2 linked regions of the Diceros bicornis minor genome follow. The protein of the gene in region 2 purifies or fractionates together with the protein of the main gene of each other region. This does not show direct contact. Links are inferred from orthologs where the notes say so. Each region holds a gene or a part of one and is shown on either strand. Other genes may lie near its edges.

Region 1 (7,164 bases), on a different chromosome or scaffold from region 2:
AAGTGCGAGCGCTCCGCTACTGGCGGCCCGGGTTCGCATCCAAGCGAGCACCGACGCACCGCTTGTCCGACCATGCTGTGGCAGGCGTCCCACATAAAGTGGAGGAAGATGGGCACAGATGTTAGCCCAGGGCCAGTCTTCCTCAGCAAAAACAGGCGGATTGGCATGGATGTTAGCTCAGGGCTGATCTTCCTCAAAAAAAAAAAAAAATGTAATAAATAGATGAGATTTAGAGTTGGGTGAGCTTTAACTGATTTCTAAAGAATAAAGGAAGTGATGTGCGGTATGGTGAAAAGAGCCCCAACCTGGGCCACAGGCCAGTTCACCTCATCCTCCCTGGCCTCAGGGTCCTCATCTGTGCAAAGAGGGGCTGGACTAGGGGACTTCTGAGTCTTTCAGCTTATAATTTTATGATTCTGTGAACATCTGATTAGGAGCAATGAAGATGGCTACAACAGAAACTGTTGGTTGACAGAGAGAGAGAGAGAAAGAGAGAGAGCAAGAGAGCGCCCCGGGCTCTCTGCTTAAACTCCTGATGTGTCCCTGATGAGAAGTCACGGCTGAGCTCCATAACTGGTTCCTGGGAGGTTCCTGCAAATCCGCAATCATCTTGTCCCTCTGGATACATGCCCTTCTAGGGCAAGCCTTCAGCATTAACCAGGTATCTTCAAGCAACCTGGCCTTTTCATCCAGGATATCAAAGCCGATAATGAGTGTAATTTGGAGGCCTGACTTGAGATCTTGTCTCACTGCTGCCTGCCAGACTGACTGCATGTCATACTGAGACAGCCAAACTCTTATTTTCCCACAGGAATACTTAAGTGTCTAGGTTCTGGTCTGCCCCTGTCAACTACCCACACGACCAGCAATCAACACCTGTTTACGGGTACTGTTTGAAATAGTCAAAGACCTGTGAAATGCCCAAACATAGGGAAATAGTTAAATAGCTCAGGATATGTCCTTGCAGTGGAAGACTACGCAACAGTTAAAAAGAAAGAGGTGGATTTATATGTCCTGACATTGAAGGATGTTCATAATATATTGGTGAATGATGAACGCGAACTGCAGAAGAATATGTTAAGTGTGATCTCATTTTGTTTGCTATTTACAAATAGGCCTATGTAAATACATATCCATGTATAATTTATATGAGTATAAAGAAGTATCTGGGAAAATAACCAGTAAATTACTAATAGTGGATACCCCGGGAAATGGATATGAGGTGGGTTTCCCTTTGTGTTCTTTCAAGTGGTCTGAATTTTTGCAACTTATTAAGTGGTTTATAATTATAACAACAATATGGTTTTAAAACCGGGTATTTACAACTATCTGGTCTAAAAATATACGTATTTTACATAGCCAGAATTAGCACCCTTGCCCAGGACCCACTATCAAAATCCCACTCTCTAAGGTCCCACTATGTGAGGTTACTTAACAGGTGGGAAAGATACAGCTCAAAGCAGATCTTGTGTTTCTGATTCTCTTTGGGGTTGTGAAAGGTACTGATGTATTTTTAAAACAATACAAGAAATGACAAGCACTCTTTTTCAAAAAGCCCCCTGGTCCTCAAAAGCAGGTAAGGCTGTGAGGACACCTGTACTTGTTGCAGATTAAATGTGAAGTAAGATTTTAAGTGAGTGTGTTTCCTAAGCAAAGGCTCCTTAGAAATGTACTCTTAAGAGGGGCTATGGGTGAAATAGTGATGGAGTCACCACCTTCCTAACATACCTGTCCCAGTCTCTCTCCAACAAGGCCCGTCCCTGCTTGACATCTGAAAATAAATATGAACACACGCTCCTTAAGAGTTAGCTCCACCAACCCAAACTATGGGACCCAAGCCAAACAGCTGACCAGAAACGGCATCCAGGCTTCAGGCATTATACTTTTTCAGATCAGCTATGACTATCATGCACAATTTTTATAGTGTTCCTAAGTGTGGGAAATGTTAGGAGGGAGTGTGGGCAATCTGAAAAGCCACGTACCTTTCAGTTACAGTGAGGACCAGTCTAAATATAAAATACTTGTGCACAGCAGAATAACCCAAAGGGTATTGTGTTACTTACAAAAAGCCTCACAAGAAGGTGACCTTTGAATTCCCATGTCCCCTGATTCCTTTGCTACACAGTGTGATCTGCAGACCAGCAGCATTAGTACCACCTACCGCAGAAGAACTTCCTAGAAATGCAGAAACTCAGGCCCCACCCCACACCTACTGCAGCCCTTTGCACACCGGCATTGCTGCTCCTGAGAGCTCTGGGCCTGCAGGCTCCCTCCCAGCCTGCCTCAGGGGCCCCTGGCTCCTAAAAGAACTTGTAGAGTCAAGGAGATACTGGATTAGAAATCTGACTTGGGACCTCCGTGCCAAAGAGAGTGAAGGAGGTCAAAGAAGAGAAAAGGAAAGAAAGGCACCCACTCCACGACTTTCCTGTATGAGGCTTGATGGGTACGGCAGGCAGGCCAGGTGCCCACCCCGGCCAATCAGTTTCACCAGGAGGAAGCTGAGAGGGGTGCCAAGGCAGGCTGCTCAGTCCAGGGGAGAGGACTGCAGGATGGAGGCAGGTGTGGACTGGGAGACAGGTCCCCAAGTGGGAACCCCAAGCTCAAGAGAGCCAGAACCAGGGCTTCTGAAGAGAGGGGCTACCAGAGAGAGAGGGAGAGACCCCCAGCTGTCAGACAGACAGACAGGCTGACAGCAGGAGGGCCGGATGACTAGATATCAGACTGCCAGGTAGACCCCCAGCCGGACAGACAGACAGACAGGGTGCAGCGGGGCGGCCGCAGGCCTGACTCACAGGTGCGCAATGCCCGCCTTGCGCACGGCCGTGGAGATGGCTTTGACCGCGGTGCAGAGCGAGTTGAGCAGCTGGGTCATCTCGCCCGTGCCGCGGGCCTTCCTGCCCTCCTCCATGACGAAGCGGGTCAGGGTGACGATATCCGTGTCGAAGGCCGCCTGGTCCGTCATGCTGGGGCCGGGCTGCTGCGCGGGGCGGCAGGTGCGGGCGGCGGGACGCGGCGGGACGGAGCGACGGCCGAGTGTCTGCACCCCTCGGAGCCTAAGTGGCCCAGGCCAGGTCCCCGCCGCCGTGTCCCGGGGGAGCCTATAGGCGCCAGGTCACTGCCCCCCGCCCCGGAACATCTCCGCCCACGCCCCCGCCCCCTCGACTGCCGCCCCGCCCCTCCGATCCCCGGTGACGTGGGGGACCCGGGTCGCCGCCCCCGCCGCCCCCTCTGCTTCCTCCGCTGTGGCCCCCAGCCCCCGCGCCGCTGGACTGCCGCTGGCGCCGTGGACATCGCTCTGGGTCACCTGCGTTACCTCCTTCAGTCCCCACGGCGACCCTGGCGCGCAGGTGCAGTCAGGATTTTCCCCCAAGACGTGAAACGGAAGTTCGGAAGGTGAAGGAAGGCGATCCCCGCGACGCAGCTAGCCCGGGAGGACGCGGGCGCTGCGGCCCGGCCCCGCGGCCTGCTCTCGGCACGTGGGTCTGACCGCTGCCGTCCCCGCCCCCATCGTCGCCACCTGTCCCTGCTCCCTGCCCTCTGTCCCCCCTGCTTGGCCTGTCACCTGGCTCTTCTGACCAACCTCAGGAGACGTGGATTTCCATGTCCCTCACCTGTCTGACCGCCCATGTCTGGATCCTTCTAATCCAGGCCTCTTCCTCTCAAGGTTCCTGTAATTCCAGAGCTGTTGGGAACCGTAGTTTCCGACATCTGCGTTTTGCAGAGGAAACAGTGGCAGACACAGAGAAGTGTCTCCTGGGTGCTGAGGCCAGAAGTCTCTTAGCCCACATCTTGACCGCTGTGTAGCCACCACGCTGCTCTCCTCCCGCAGTTCATACGCTGATCCAGGGAACAGCATTTATGGAGCACGTACTGTGTGCCAGGCACTGCCCCATGCACTGGGATACAGCCTGAACAAAGTAGAGAAAGCTCCTGCCTGCTTGACCTTACCTTTTAACAGAGAGACGGTAGAAAATAAACAAACACTAGGTTAGGATGTTAGCTGAGCCAGAAGTGCTATAGAGAAAAATGAAATAGGGAATGGAGACAGGGAGCGCTGGGGCAAGAGTTGCATAGAGTAGTGAGGAAGAACTTCACTGAGAAATTGACATTTGAGCAAAAAGCAGGAGGGTGTGAGAGAGCAGCTGGTGGAGATTGAGGAAGTATCTTCCACAGAGAGAAGAGCAAGTGCAAAGGCCCTGAGGTGTGAGGGTTTGTGGCATGTTTGAGTAATGGCCTGGAGACCAGTGGAGCTGGAGTAGAGCTATCCAGGGGGTGAGAGAGAGAAGATAAGGCCCAAGAGGGGAGGGGAGGATAGAGGTGTGAGGCCTGGAGAGCCAAGTAAGGTTTGACTTTGCCTCAGAGGAAAACCACTGGAGAGTTTCCAATAGTGGGGATGGGTGATCTGCCCTTTGCTTTCATACTCTGGCTGCTGTGTTAAGATGAGACCTAAGAGAGAAGACAGATGCTTGACTGAGAGCTGGTGATCCAGCAAGGTAGCAGTGGGCATGATGAGAACTGACTGCTTCCTGGATTGAAGGTAGAGCTGACAGTTTTGTTTACAGATGAGATGTGAGGAAGGACAGTTCAGGATGATTCTAAGGGTTGGAGCCTGAGCAACTGGAATGTTGGAGTGGCCCTCGACCAGGAAGACCAGGAGGGGCATACACTGGGGGTGTGGTTGAAGATTAGGAATTAGTTATGGGATACACTAGATTTCAAATGCCTATTAGACATCCAAGGGAATGTCAAGTAGACAGCTGGATTTGTGACTCTGGAGTTCAGAGGAGAAGTGGACGCTGGAGATATAAATTGGAAAACCTCACTGATGAATGGTGTTTGGAGCCATGAGACTGGAAGGGATCACCAAGGAAGGGGTCGGCTGAAAGCCAAGAGGTGTGGCACTCAGGAAGCCAAGTGAAGAATGTGAGTCAAGGAGCAGGGTTGACCCGTGTGCCAAATGCTGCAGACGGGTCCAGCAAGATGAGACCTGAAAGCTGACCGCTGGATTCAATCGTGGGGACCCGGCGTGCTGCTGCTTGTGCCCAGGGTTGTCAGGTGGGGGAGCGCTGGATGCGGGAAGGGGTCGTACCACCAGGAAAGATAGTTACTGTCTCCTCTTAGCCCAAGGGGGCATTGATACCACTGCAGAGAGAGCAGACCTCTTGAGGGTCCACTTAACTCTTTGCTCAGGCAAGTTGCTCAGGCAACTTTTCAGGAGAAACACTGCAGGGTGTTAAAAGGAAAAAAAACACCTCAGAAGAGAAATGTTTCCTCGAATATAAAATCTGAAACGTGATGACTAATATTTTTGGCCTAGCACTTGTTAACAGCAGCTCTGTTCAAGACTTTGCCCCTTCACGTGTCAGATGTGTTAGTCCGCAGGAGCTCAGGTTGGCTAGGATCGGAAAAGTCGTCTAGTCCAACCCAGCCCTCCTGAAGTTTAATCCCTTGCAAACTGTCCCTGGAAAGAGGTGAAGAGCTCAGGATGGGGGTTGAGCAGGCCCGCTGGATTCCCAGCTTCCAGCCCTCATAGCCTGGTACCCAATCCCTCTAATCCCAGTTTATTTGTCTGTAAGGTAGGATGATTGCTTGAGCTGGCGGGAGTGTCATGAGCATGACATGAGATGATGTTGGCAGAGTGCTCAGCTCCAAGCTGGACACAGAGGATGCACTGAATACATGGAAGAGACCTCTGTCTAGCTCAGTTATTGATCCCTGTCACCCACAATAATGGGAAGCCCACCACCTACAAGGCAAACCATCCCCCTTAGGAACCGGCCACTTGGCATAGTGGTGAAATGTGCAGACTCTAGAGCTGGACCACCTGGGTCTGAGTCCTGGCCTTGGCCCGTACTGGCGGTGAAAGCCTGTGCAAGTTCCTGATCTCTCTGAGCAACATTTTGTTCCTCTGTAAATTGGGGCTAATGATTGTGGCCATCTCGTTGGATTCTACAAGCGATGCAGGTAAGGTGTTTACGAACTCTGCCCAACCTGTAGTAAGTACATGCTACGGAAGTCTTTCATTCATTATACAGATAGTGTCAGCTGGTGTTTTCATCTGAACAGAAGAAAGAAAGTTCCTTTGCCATCAAAAGGGGGCTGAAGGGACATGAGAATGGATAGCCTCAGCCTATATTTACCTGTTGTGCAATTATGTCCCCCCCATCATGTTGGATAACTCTGACGAGTCCTCTTCGGGTCAAGATGCATAAACTCATCACCTGGGTGTTAGCCAGAGACCAAGGATGGTGCAGGACCAGGGGAAGGCATTCACCTTGTGCATGGTTCTCCACACGTGGGATTTCTCCCTCCCGCTGTCACCCACCCCATTGCAGAGTTGCTCTTTGCTGGCTGCAATGATTTCTCCTCCTCTCGCATCACAAAACACACTCCGATTCACACAATACTGCAGGTTCGAGTCGTGTGTGCGATATTACCAATTTTGTAATGGCTGTGAGTCCTGTACAGAAACAGGCACCACCCATTTCCTCACCAGGCTCCAGCCCCAGGAGGTCAGCTCTGGTCTGTGTCAGAGACAGGAAGTTGAGAAGTAACAGTCTGGACCATCACTCACCGCCCCCGCCACCCACCCCTGAACCCAGCCTTCTGCTTACTTTTCCCTCAGGAGGGCAGTTAGTGACATGGAAAGAAATACCAAGTGAGGGCTCATGAGAAAGGGATTGTAGCAGTGTGGCCCCTCCATAAGTGAGTGCCCGGCTCCTGTGGCCACAGTGCCCTCGTGTAGGTACTGGAGACAAGACCCGTAATCTCTGGAGCGACAGAAACTAGACAGCCACACAATGGAGCGAACACCTGTGTAGCTCTTGTTAAATGCACAGCGCTCCCAGGGGGCTACAGACACAGCCTTTCACCAACCAACACCCTATGCTGTGGTTCTCTCATGCTCCTCTCTCTACAGATGAGGGAACTGAGGCTTCTTAAGGTCAAAAACTTGTCCAAGGCCTGTGGCCAGCCAGGAAGTGGCAGAGCCAAGACTCAAACCCTGGTCTATCTGATTCCAAACCCCGCATTCCCACTGGCCTGCTGGTTCCCTGCTAAGTGCAGCCGGCTCCGTGGCGAGGCTGAGCCTGTCCACTGCAGCTTCAATAATACGCATTCCGAATTGTCCACCCATTGGCTCTAGAGCTGCTTCTTAGGCATGCG
Region 2 (7,555 bases):
GGCACACGCCCAAATATGGCACCCTGTGTTCACATGCACGCCTGGGCCTTGGGTTCTGCCCCCTGCTCCACTTGGCCCCTGGGTCTCAGCCCCTCTGGAGCTAGAGAGTGGGCTAGGAGAAGCCCCTCTGCCCCCTAGGCTGTGGCCAAAGGGGCTGACTGGTCATTACAGGGTGGTGGCTCTGGTCCCTGGCAGGATTTGTGTCCTACCCTGCACCAGGCACAGTTTCTATTCTCCACTCCTGAATGGGCACCAGGCCTGGGGGCCTGTGCGGGGAGACTGGGGAAGAGTGAGTCACTTCGGGGGGCACCCACCTTCCGTGCCCAGCTTCTGCAGCCCATCCTCGTCACTGCCCAGCCCCCGCAGCTGCTCCCACTGGCTGGTGCAGGCCACAGTCAGCACGTCTCTCACTGCCCGCACAGCTTGGGATGACTTGGTGAAGCTGAGCTCCTTTGGAGGACCGGGCCCAGGGCCGCACCCCTCCTCCAGGGCCAGCCTGAGTGCCAGGAGCTCCTGTGCCAGATAAATACCCATTAAGGCCCTGCTGGCCACAGCTCCTCCAGGCTGGGGTGAGACAGCTCTGCCGGGAGGCTGGCACAGCCCTGAAGGCCAGGCACCCACTGCCTTCTCTTCCCTCCACCTCCTGCCTACCCCCCCTTCTGTGCCCTCTCTGGCCCAAAAAGCTGCCCTCACCTGCAGGAAGCTGACCGAGTCGGCTTCAGGGACCTGACTGAGGTTGTGGCGGGCCCGGCTTAGCCTGCTGCGCTGTTCTTCCTGCCGCCGCAGGTCGCCCTGGGAGCGGCCAAGCATGAGGGCCTCCCCCTCCTCGATGAAGCCCAGCACCTCTGTTTGGAACCCTTGCAAGGTTGCTGCAGCCTCGGCAAACAGCCGGCTCACCCTGTCCCGCTCTGCCACGGCTGCACTCTGCATAGGACAACAGTGGGGCAGCGATGAAGGCAAAGAACTGCGCTGTGTTGGCCCTATCCTTCCCAGACCTCACCTTCCCACCCTGCCCTCTTGGAGAGACAGAGGGACCAGCCCGAGCTGCCCTGGATCTATGCCAGGCCAGAGGAGATGCTTGTGCTCAGCAGGGCCGGACAGTGCCCTGAGCACAGGCTTCTTTGGAGTGGACCGTGCCACGACGAAAGCTCACACTTTCAGGAGCCTGCTGCAGGAGTGGACAGGGACCAGGGTAGCGTGGGGTCTGACCTTGATGAGGGCCACCGTGCGCCGGGACTGTGCAATGCCGGCGCCCAGCTCGTCCATGCGGTCCTCCACAGCGCTCAGGACTTTGGGCTGCTCCGCCTGTGGATGACACCTTCCTGAGTATGGGGTCTGGAGAGGACACAGCCTTGCACTGGGGTCCCAGGCTTTACCAGAGGGAGGAGAGAAGTGACCCCAGCGTGGTATCTGTGCATAGGTGGGACTGGGAGTGGCCATGATGTCCCATAATATGTCAGAGGTGTCTCAAGCCCAGGCTGGTGCCATTTCCAAATGCCTAGGGAGAGCACAGTCTGGTTGGGGGTGGGGAGGTGGGGTTTTGTCTGCCTCCCTTCTCTGACCAGTAGGCAAGTACAAGGCCATCCATGGTCCTCAATGTTGCTCACATTTGTTTGAGAACTTCCTTCAGAGGAAGAGGCAGAGAATGATAGAGAGTGAGGAGTGCTGCACAAGAGGGCATTCAGCTGTCCTGGGGATCCCTGTCCCCAAAGAGTCTGTGTCCCCAATCCAGGCCTGAAAAAAGGGAATTCCAGGCAAATCCCTTGGGTTTTATGAATCACTGCTCCAGCCAGGAGAGACGGAAAATCCCAAGGCCAGAGGCGCCAAGACCGGGCTGGAGGCCAAAGGAAACTGGGGGCGGAGGTAGCTGGACGGACTGCGCGCACATGCTCCCACCACCGGCCCCCGGAAGAGCTGGACAGAGCGGTCTGTGTGCTCGGCCTACCCTCTGCGGCACTCCTGTCGCCTGCCACACCCATCCAAACCCCCAGTCCCAGCCCAGGGCAAATCTGAGCTGAGCCCGACCCCGGCCGGGCGCATCAGCCGCGCTGCCAGAATCAGCCGCCTGGGACCCCGCCGGCCTAACCCGGCCCCCTCCTGCCTTAGTCCCCCCATCGGCCCCGCCCCGGCTTCAGGCTCCTGCCGGCCCTTCACGGCCTTTACGCGTTCTCACTGGGTCCCTTCAGCCCCCTATTCCCATCTCGAACGGAATGTCCCACAGCGAGCGGATGACACTGTCACGGCTGGAAGGGGCAGCAAAGATCCTCACGTTACAGGAGGAAATTAAGACCCAACCCTGGAAGGATGAGGGTGAGAGGGGCAGTCCAGGGCCCTCGGCCGGCTCGCGCGGCCGTCCGTCACCCGCCCTGGCCCGCCCGCGGTGCCCGCACCTCACCTCCTGGAGCGCGCGCTCCTGCTCCAGCGGCACCAGCTCGTGGCCCCGGTGCTCCTGGGCGCCGCAGGCCTCGCACAGGCACACGCGCTCCGCGCGGCAGTAGCGCTCCAGCGGCCGCAGGTGGCGCGGGCACAGGCTCTCCTCCAGCCGGCGCAGCGGCGGCACCAGGCGGTGTCCGCGCAGCGCAGGGCTGCGCTCGTGTGGGCCAAGGTGCGCGGGGCAGAAGGAGGCGAGGCAGGAGAGGCAGGAGAGCGCGGCGGGCAGGGCGGCGCCCTCGGGGCACGCGTCGCAGCGCACCGGCTCTTCGCCCGCCGGCCACGGCTCGGGCGCGCAGGGAGCCGACGGCTCCGAGGTGCTGGGCGGCGCACTGGGCGCCGCGGGCTCGGCGGCCGGGCCACGGCCCGAGCCTGGGCCCGAGCCCTGGCGGAGCTGCAGCAGCTCGGACAGCGTGTGGTTCTTGCGGAGCTGCAGGCCGTCGGGGAAGGGCTCCTGGCACAGCGGGCAGCGGGCCGCGCCTCCGGGCCCGCCGGCGCCACCCGTGCCGCGGTGCGGCCAGAGCGCGCCCAGGCAGGCGAGGCAGAAGTTGTGGCCGCAGGGCAGCGTCACCGGCTCCCGGAGCGGCTCAAGGCAGATGGGGCAGCTGAAGGGCCCGCTGCCGTCCATAGCTCCGTGGCCTCCGGGCCACCGCCTGTTCTGCTGCCGCCTGGGAGGGACCCGGACCGTTCGTGCCGCGGCGCCACCCCCTGGGACGGAGGCCAAGGGTTCGGCCCACTTCTGTCCCGGGCTCGGACCGCCCCCCAGCGCCACAGGCCCGCCCGCCGGTCCCCAAATACCCGGCCCCAGCCCAGACAGCGCAGGGCGGCCTCTGGGCCCCGCCGGACTCCGAGGGGCTCCTGGGCGATCGCCCCTCCTGGGCCCGGCGGCCCGTGAGGTCTGAGGGGAGGGCGTTGCCGAAAGGGCTGTGCGAGAGAGGGCGGAGGGCAGAGAATGCTGAGGACACACTGGAAGGAAGCTGGGAAGGGATTCACCCCTGCATTATCCCTCTATCCTCCCCCACGCCATGGCCAGGCCACCCCACTGTCACCCAGTAGCTTCGCGCTCCAGACCCTCTGTGGCACTGTTAGCAAAGTTCCTGGGCTGCTGACTGCAGAGAAAAATAACTGCTGATGTGCGCATGTTTTTGCCCCTTAGCGACTCTGTTTACCCCCGGCGGGGAACTTGGGCTTCTCTAACCCTGAAATGGGAAGTTGATGTAATCCTTCAAGTCCTTGTCTGAGGAATTGAGTTTGGGTCCATGGACACTCCTGAGCCCCTGCGGTGTGGGTAGCGTGAGGGGTGGGGGCTCCCCAGGTGGAGGCACTTCTTAAGACTCATCTAATTATGCACTTAAAATGGTGCATTGTATTCTATGTAAGATATACCTCGATAATGTTAAGTTTAAAACAAACAGCAACAAAATAACTAAAGCAGCCTTGGATTATAACCCAAAGTATAAAATAAACATCCCTGAGTCCCTGCTGATATAAATAAATGACTGGATAAATAAATAAGTGAGGGAGAAGAGGCAAATTTCCCATTCAGAAAAATTCCAAATAATTTTTGTAGATACTCCACGGTGGAGCGTAACTTCCCACTCCTTCAGGGTGGGCTCTGCATAGTAACTTTCTTCAAAAGGGAGAAAAAGAGTAACTGTACAGTGGAGAAACCTGACAAACACTACCTCAACCAGGTGATCGAGGTCAACATCAACAGGGATAAGTCATGTTGATAGTAAGCACCCTTGATATGATGTGGTCCTCCTCCCTCAAAACCCATAACTGCAGTCTAATCATGATTAAAACATCAGACAAATCCCACTTGAGGAACGGTCTAGAAAACCTCTGACCTGTCGAGGTCATCAAAAACAGGGCAAGTCTGAGAAACTGTCACAGCCCAGAGAAGCCTAAGGAGACACGAAAACTAAATGTAATGTGTACCCTGGATGGGCTCCTGAATGAGAAAAAGGACATTAGGGAAAAAGTAAGGAATTTGAATACATTATGGAATATAGTGGATAAGAATGTATCAGTATTGGCTCTTTGTGACAAATGTGCCATAGACAAGTAAGATGTTAATGAAAGGGGAAATTGGGGGTGAGGTACATGGGAACTCTGAATTATCTTTGCAACTTTTCTGTAAATTTGTAAGTATTCTAAAATTAAAAGTTCATTTAAAAATATAGAATAATTGAGGCAATCCTTCCCACCCCCAGGCCTGCAGACCTCCTGCTGGTGAGGGCCAAAGCCGGCGGAATAAAGGGGTGAGCAGGGGCCATCCACCTAGAAGTGGGGCTTAACCTTTCTCAAGTGCCAGGGCCCCTCCCCAAGCCTGGTGCAGCCTACAGATCCCTTTTCAAAGTAAGGCTTTTAAGTGTACAAAACAAAATACATGGGATTCCATGGAAACCAATTACATTGAAATTCAGGTACAAAATATTAAGAAAACAAATTTGTGATAAAGTTATATATGTTTCTTTAACACAAATAACAAGATCTGATGGAGATCTAATAATTACTGTGTTTTTGAAATAGTGATGAACATAAACAACGTTTCAAGTTCTCTGTCACCACTGTAATGTGCTAGGAAAATATCTAATTTCTAGTGGTGACAAGTCACAGGTATTGCTAATACCACTGTGGTGTGGTTTCTCCATTCATAATAGCAAGAAACGCTAAATTTCAGTTAGAGAATAGTGAAAATAAAGATAATTTCCCCCCAAGACCCCAAGTTAAGAATGTCTAATTTAGAAAGATGCTATGCAGATCCCCCTGACGTCTTTCCTGGAAGGAGGGAAGAAAACTAAGACCTATTAAATGTTAAAAGAGAGGTGCGATCCACTCCTGGGGGATTCAAGGGAAGGAGTGGTGAATCATGGAGGCCCAAGTGGTGGAAGTGGCATTTGAGCTGGGCTTTCACTAGTCCTGCTAGGACTCAGGCGTGCAGAAACTAGGGTGGGAAAAGATCTTCCGGGCAGAGGAGTAGCAGAGGGAACCGGCCTGGGTGTGGCCAGTTTGGCAGGAAGACTGGTAATGAGTTCCATACGTTGGTTTCCACAAGGAGCACTTGATCATGACCGTCCCTTGTTTGCCAAGACCCAGGAACAGTTTGGAGGCTCAGGCATCTGCACTGATCCTGCTCCGAGGCTTGGCAGCCAGGCTGCCTGGGCTTGCTGAGACCACAGCCCCGCCTGGTTCTGGAGGGGAGGGGGGTGCCACTCCGGTTGGGGGCTGCTCAGAGACAAGTTCCAGCTGGCCCCCTGCTCCCCACCCCACAGCCTGTTGGGGAAGAGCTGCTCCCCCAGGAAAGCGCGGAGATGTGATTTGTCAGGGTGGAGGCATTTTTATATTTTATTTCCATTATCATAGTTTTAAAGTTGCTCAATATATTAATTCTTTTTGAAATAAATTGGCTCTTAAGGGGCAAGGGTAACTGGCACTTCTGAGGTCTGTAGGGGCATGTTCCTGCCTGCATCTCACTCTGCCCTTGCAAGGACTGTGGCATGGGATGAGAAGTGGAATTCCAACAGGTTACATATCTTGCTGGAGGTCACATAACTAGTCCTGCGGAGGAGGCAGAATTTCAACCCAGAAGGTGCAATCTGAAAATAATCCTAAACCTCATATATGACCCTGTCTGGCTGCAGTATTGCTTAAAAAAAAAAAAAAAAAAAGTCAAACAAAAGCAAAAACAAACAGGCAAAAGCAGCCCAGCAAACAAGAGTAATTAGCAAGCCACTCCAGCTTTGCTTGCATCTCTGAAAGAAATCGAAATGGTGGGCCGGCCCTGTGGCTTAGCGGTTAAGTGCGCACGCTCCACTACCGGCGGCCCGGGTTTGGATCCCGGGCATGCACCGACGCACCGCTTCTCTGGCTATGCTGAGGCCACGTCCCACATACAGCAACTAGAAGGATGTGCAACTATGACATACAGCTATCTACTGGGGCTTTGGGGGAAAAATAAATAAATAAAATTAAAAAAAAAAAAAAAGAAATTGAAATGGAGTCCAAGCCATGTCCCAAGGTAGCACTTTTTCTTTACGCTTTTGGTGTATCTTTAAAAATCTGATTTGTATTTATTTCAAAATAATGTATTTAGAGTATTTAAAAAGTAAACAATTTAATGAGGTGTATAATAACAAAAACTGGCAGTCCCGTGTCCCACCCACTCCAAATTCTTGCTCCCAGGGACAACTGGTTTCAACTCTTTTAACTATTTTCCATAGCGTTTACCTCCACATCTCTAAAGCACGTGCTTACAAGCCTTGAACACCTGTGTGGATGTTTGTGCCCGTGTTTCGTGTTTCTGGAGATGTAGATTCTTCACTTCTCTGTTGAATTCCCTGTTGCTGGGATCCCAGGTCTTCCTTTCTCTTCATTGCTTTACTTCTTTATTTCTGAAAAGTGCGTGCTCTGGGAGCTTTCTGAGAATGGATGCGGAAGTGTCTGCAAGTGCCTTTGTTCAGGCTTCTTCCTTGATTGACAGTTCGGCTGGGCATGGAATTCTAGAATGGAAATCCTTTCCCCTCAGAGTCTCACAGGCACAGCTCCATTATCTTCTAGCTTCCAGTCTCATACTACTCGAATCCCCATTCCCTAGCGTCACCATGCTGCTCCCTTCCTGCCTGGAGAACAGCAGCCTCTATTCTCTCTACTCCTCACCTCTCTGGTGACCAACTCCCTCCAACTCCACTGGCCCCAAAGGCCCCGAAGGCCCGTCTTTTAGAATCACTCCCACCCTCCCCTGCCCTTGTTCTGTCTGTGTGCCCATCCTCCTGACTCTGCCTCACAGAAGCCCAGAAACTGTGTGGAGCGGGGCAGAAATGCTGGAAACACCCATAGGCTAATCACGTGTTCCCTTTACAAATGTTACACCCCAAAGTCTATCCTTCTTTTCCCCTGTGTATCAATGCATTTTTTCTGGAGAGGAGATGGAGTGTTCTGTGAGAATCAGGTAGACTGAGTGAATTTAATTTGAAGTAGCTTCTGAGAGATTTGCAAATGCTTGCCCCTGCACTCACTTGAGAAGCACTGCTCCATAGCACACTCTGTAAAAGATGGCAGCAGCCTCTCGCCATACGTAAATAAAGGTTAATAGTCACAACACAGACCACTCCCGCAGAAC

What was found. The genes of interacting proteins can lie anywhere in the genome.
Region 1: the proteins of TRIM47 (region 2) and FBP1 purify together in Homo sapiens (affinity purification with western blotting; 3 studies listed by BioGRID). This does not show direct contact. The link is inferred for Diceros bicornis minor from reciprocal best matches to the Homo sapiens genes TRIM47 and FBP1.

The regions. Positions count from the first base shown.
Region 1 is NC_080761.1:5,705,761-5,712,924, reverse strand, and holds the start of FBP1 (fructose-1,6-bisphosphatase 1), read right to left. Parts: upstream 3,065-7,164; 5' UTR 2,963-3,064; coding exon 2,793-2,962; intron 1-2,792. UniProt on the Homo sapiens protein: Catalyzes the hydrolysis of fructose 1,6-bisphosphate to fructose 6-phosphate in the presence of divalent cations, acting as a rate-limiting enzyme in gluconeogenesis. Plays a role in regulating glucose sensing and insulin secretion of pancreatic beta-cells.
Region 2 is NC_080757.1:56,271,482-56,279,036, forward strand, and holds the start of TRIM47 (E3 ubiquitin-protein ligase TRIM47), read right to left. Parts: upstream 3,085-7,555; 5' UTR 3,059-3,084; coding exon 2,396-3,058; intron 1,306-2,395; coding exon 1,210-1,305; intron 925-1,209; coding exon 694-924; intron 514-693; coding exon 315-513; intron 1-314. UniProt on the Homo sapiens protein: E3 ubiquitin-protein ligase that mediates the ubiquitination and proteasomal degradation of CYLD.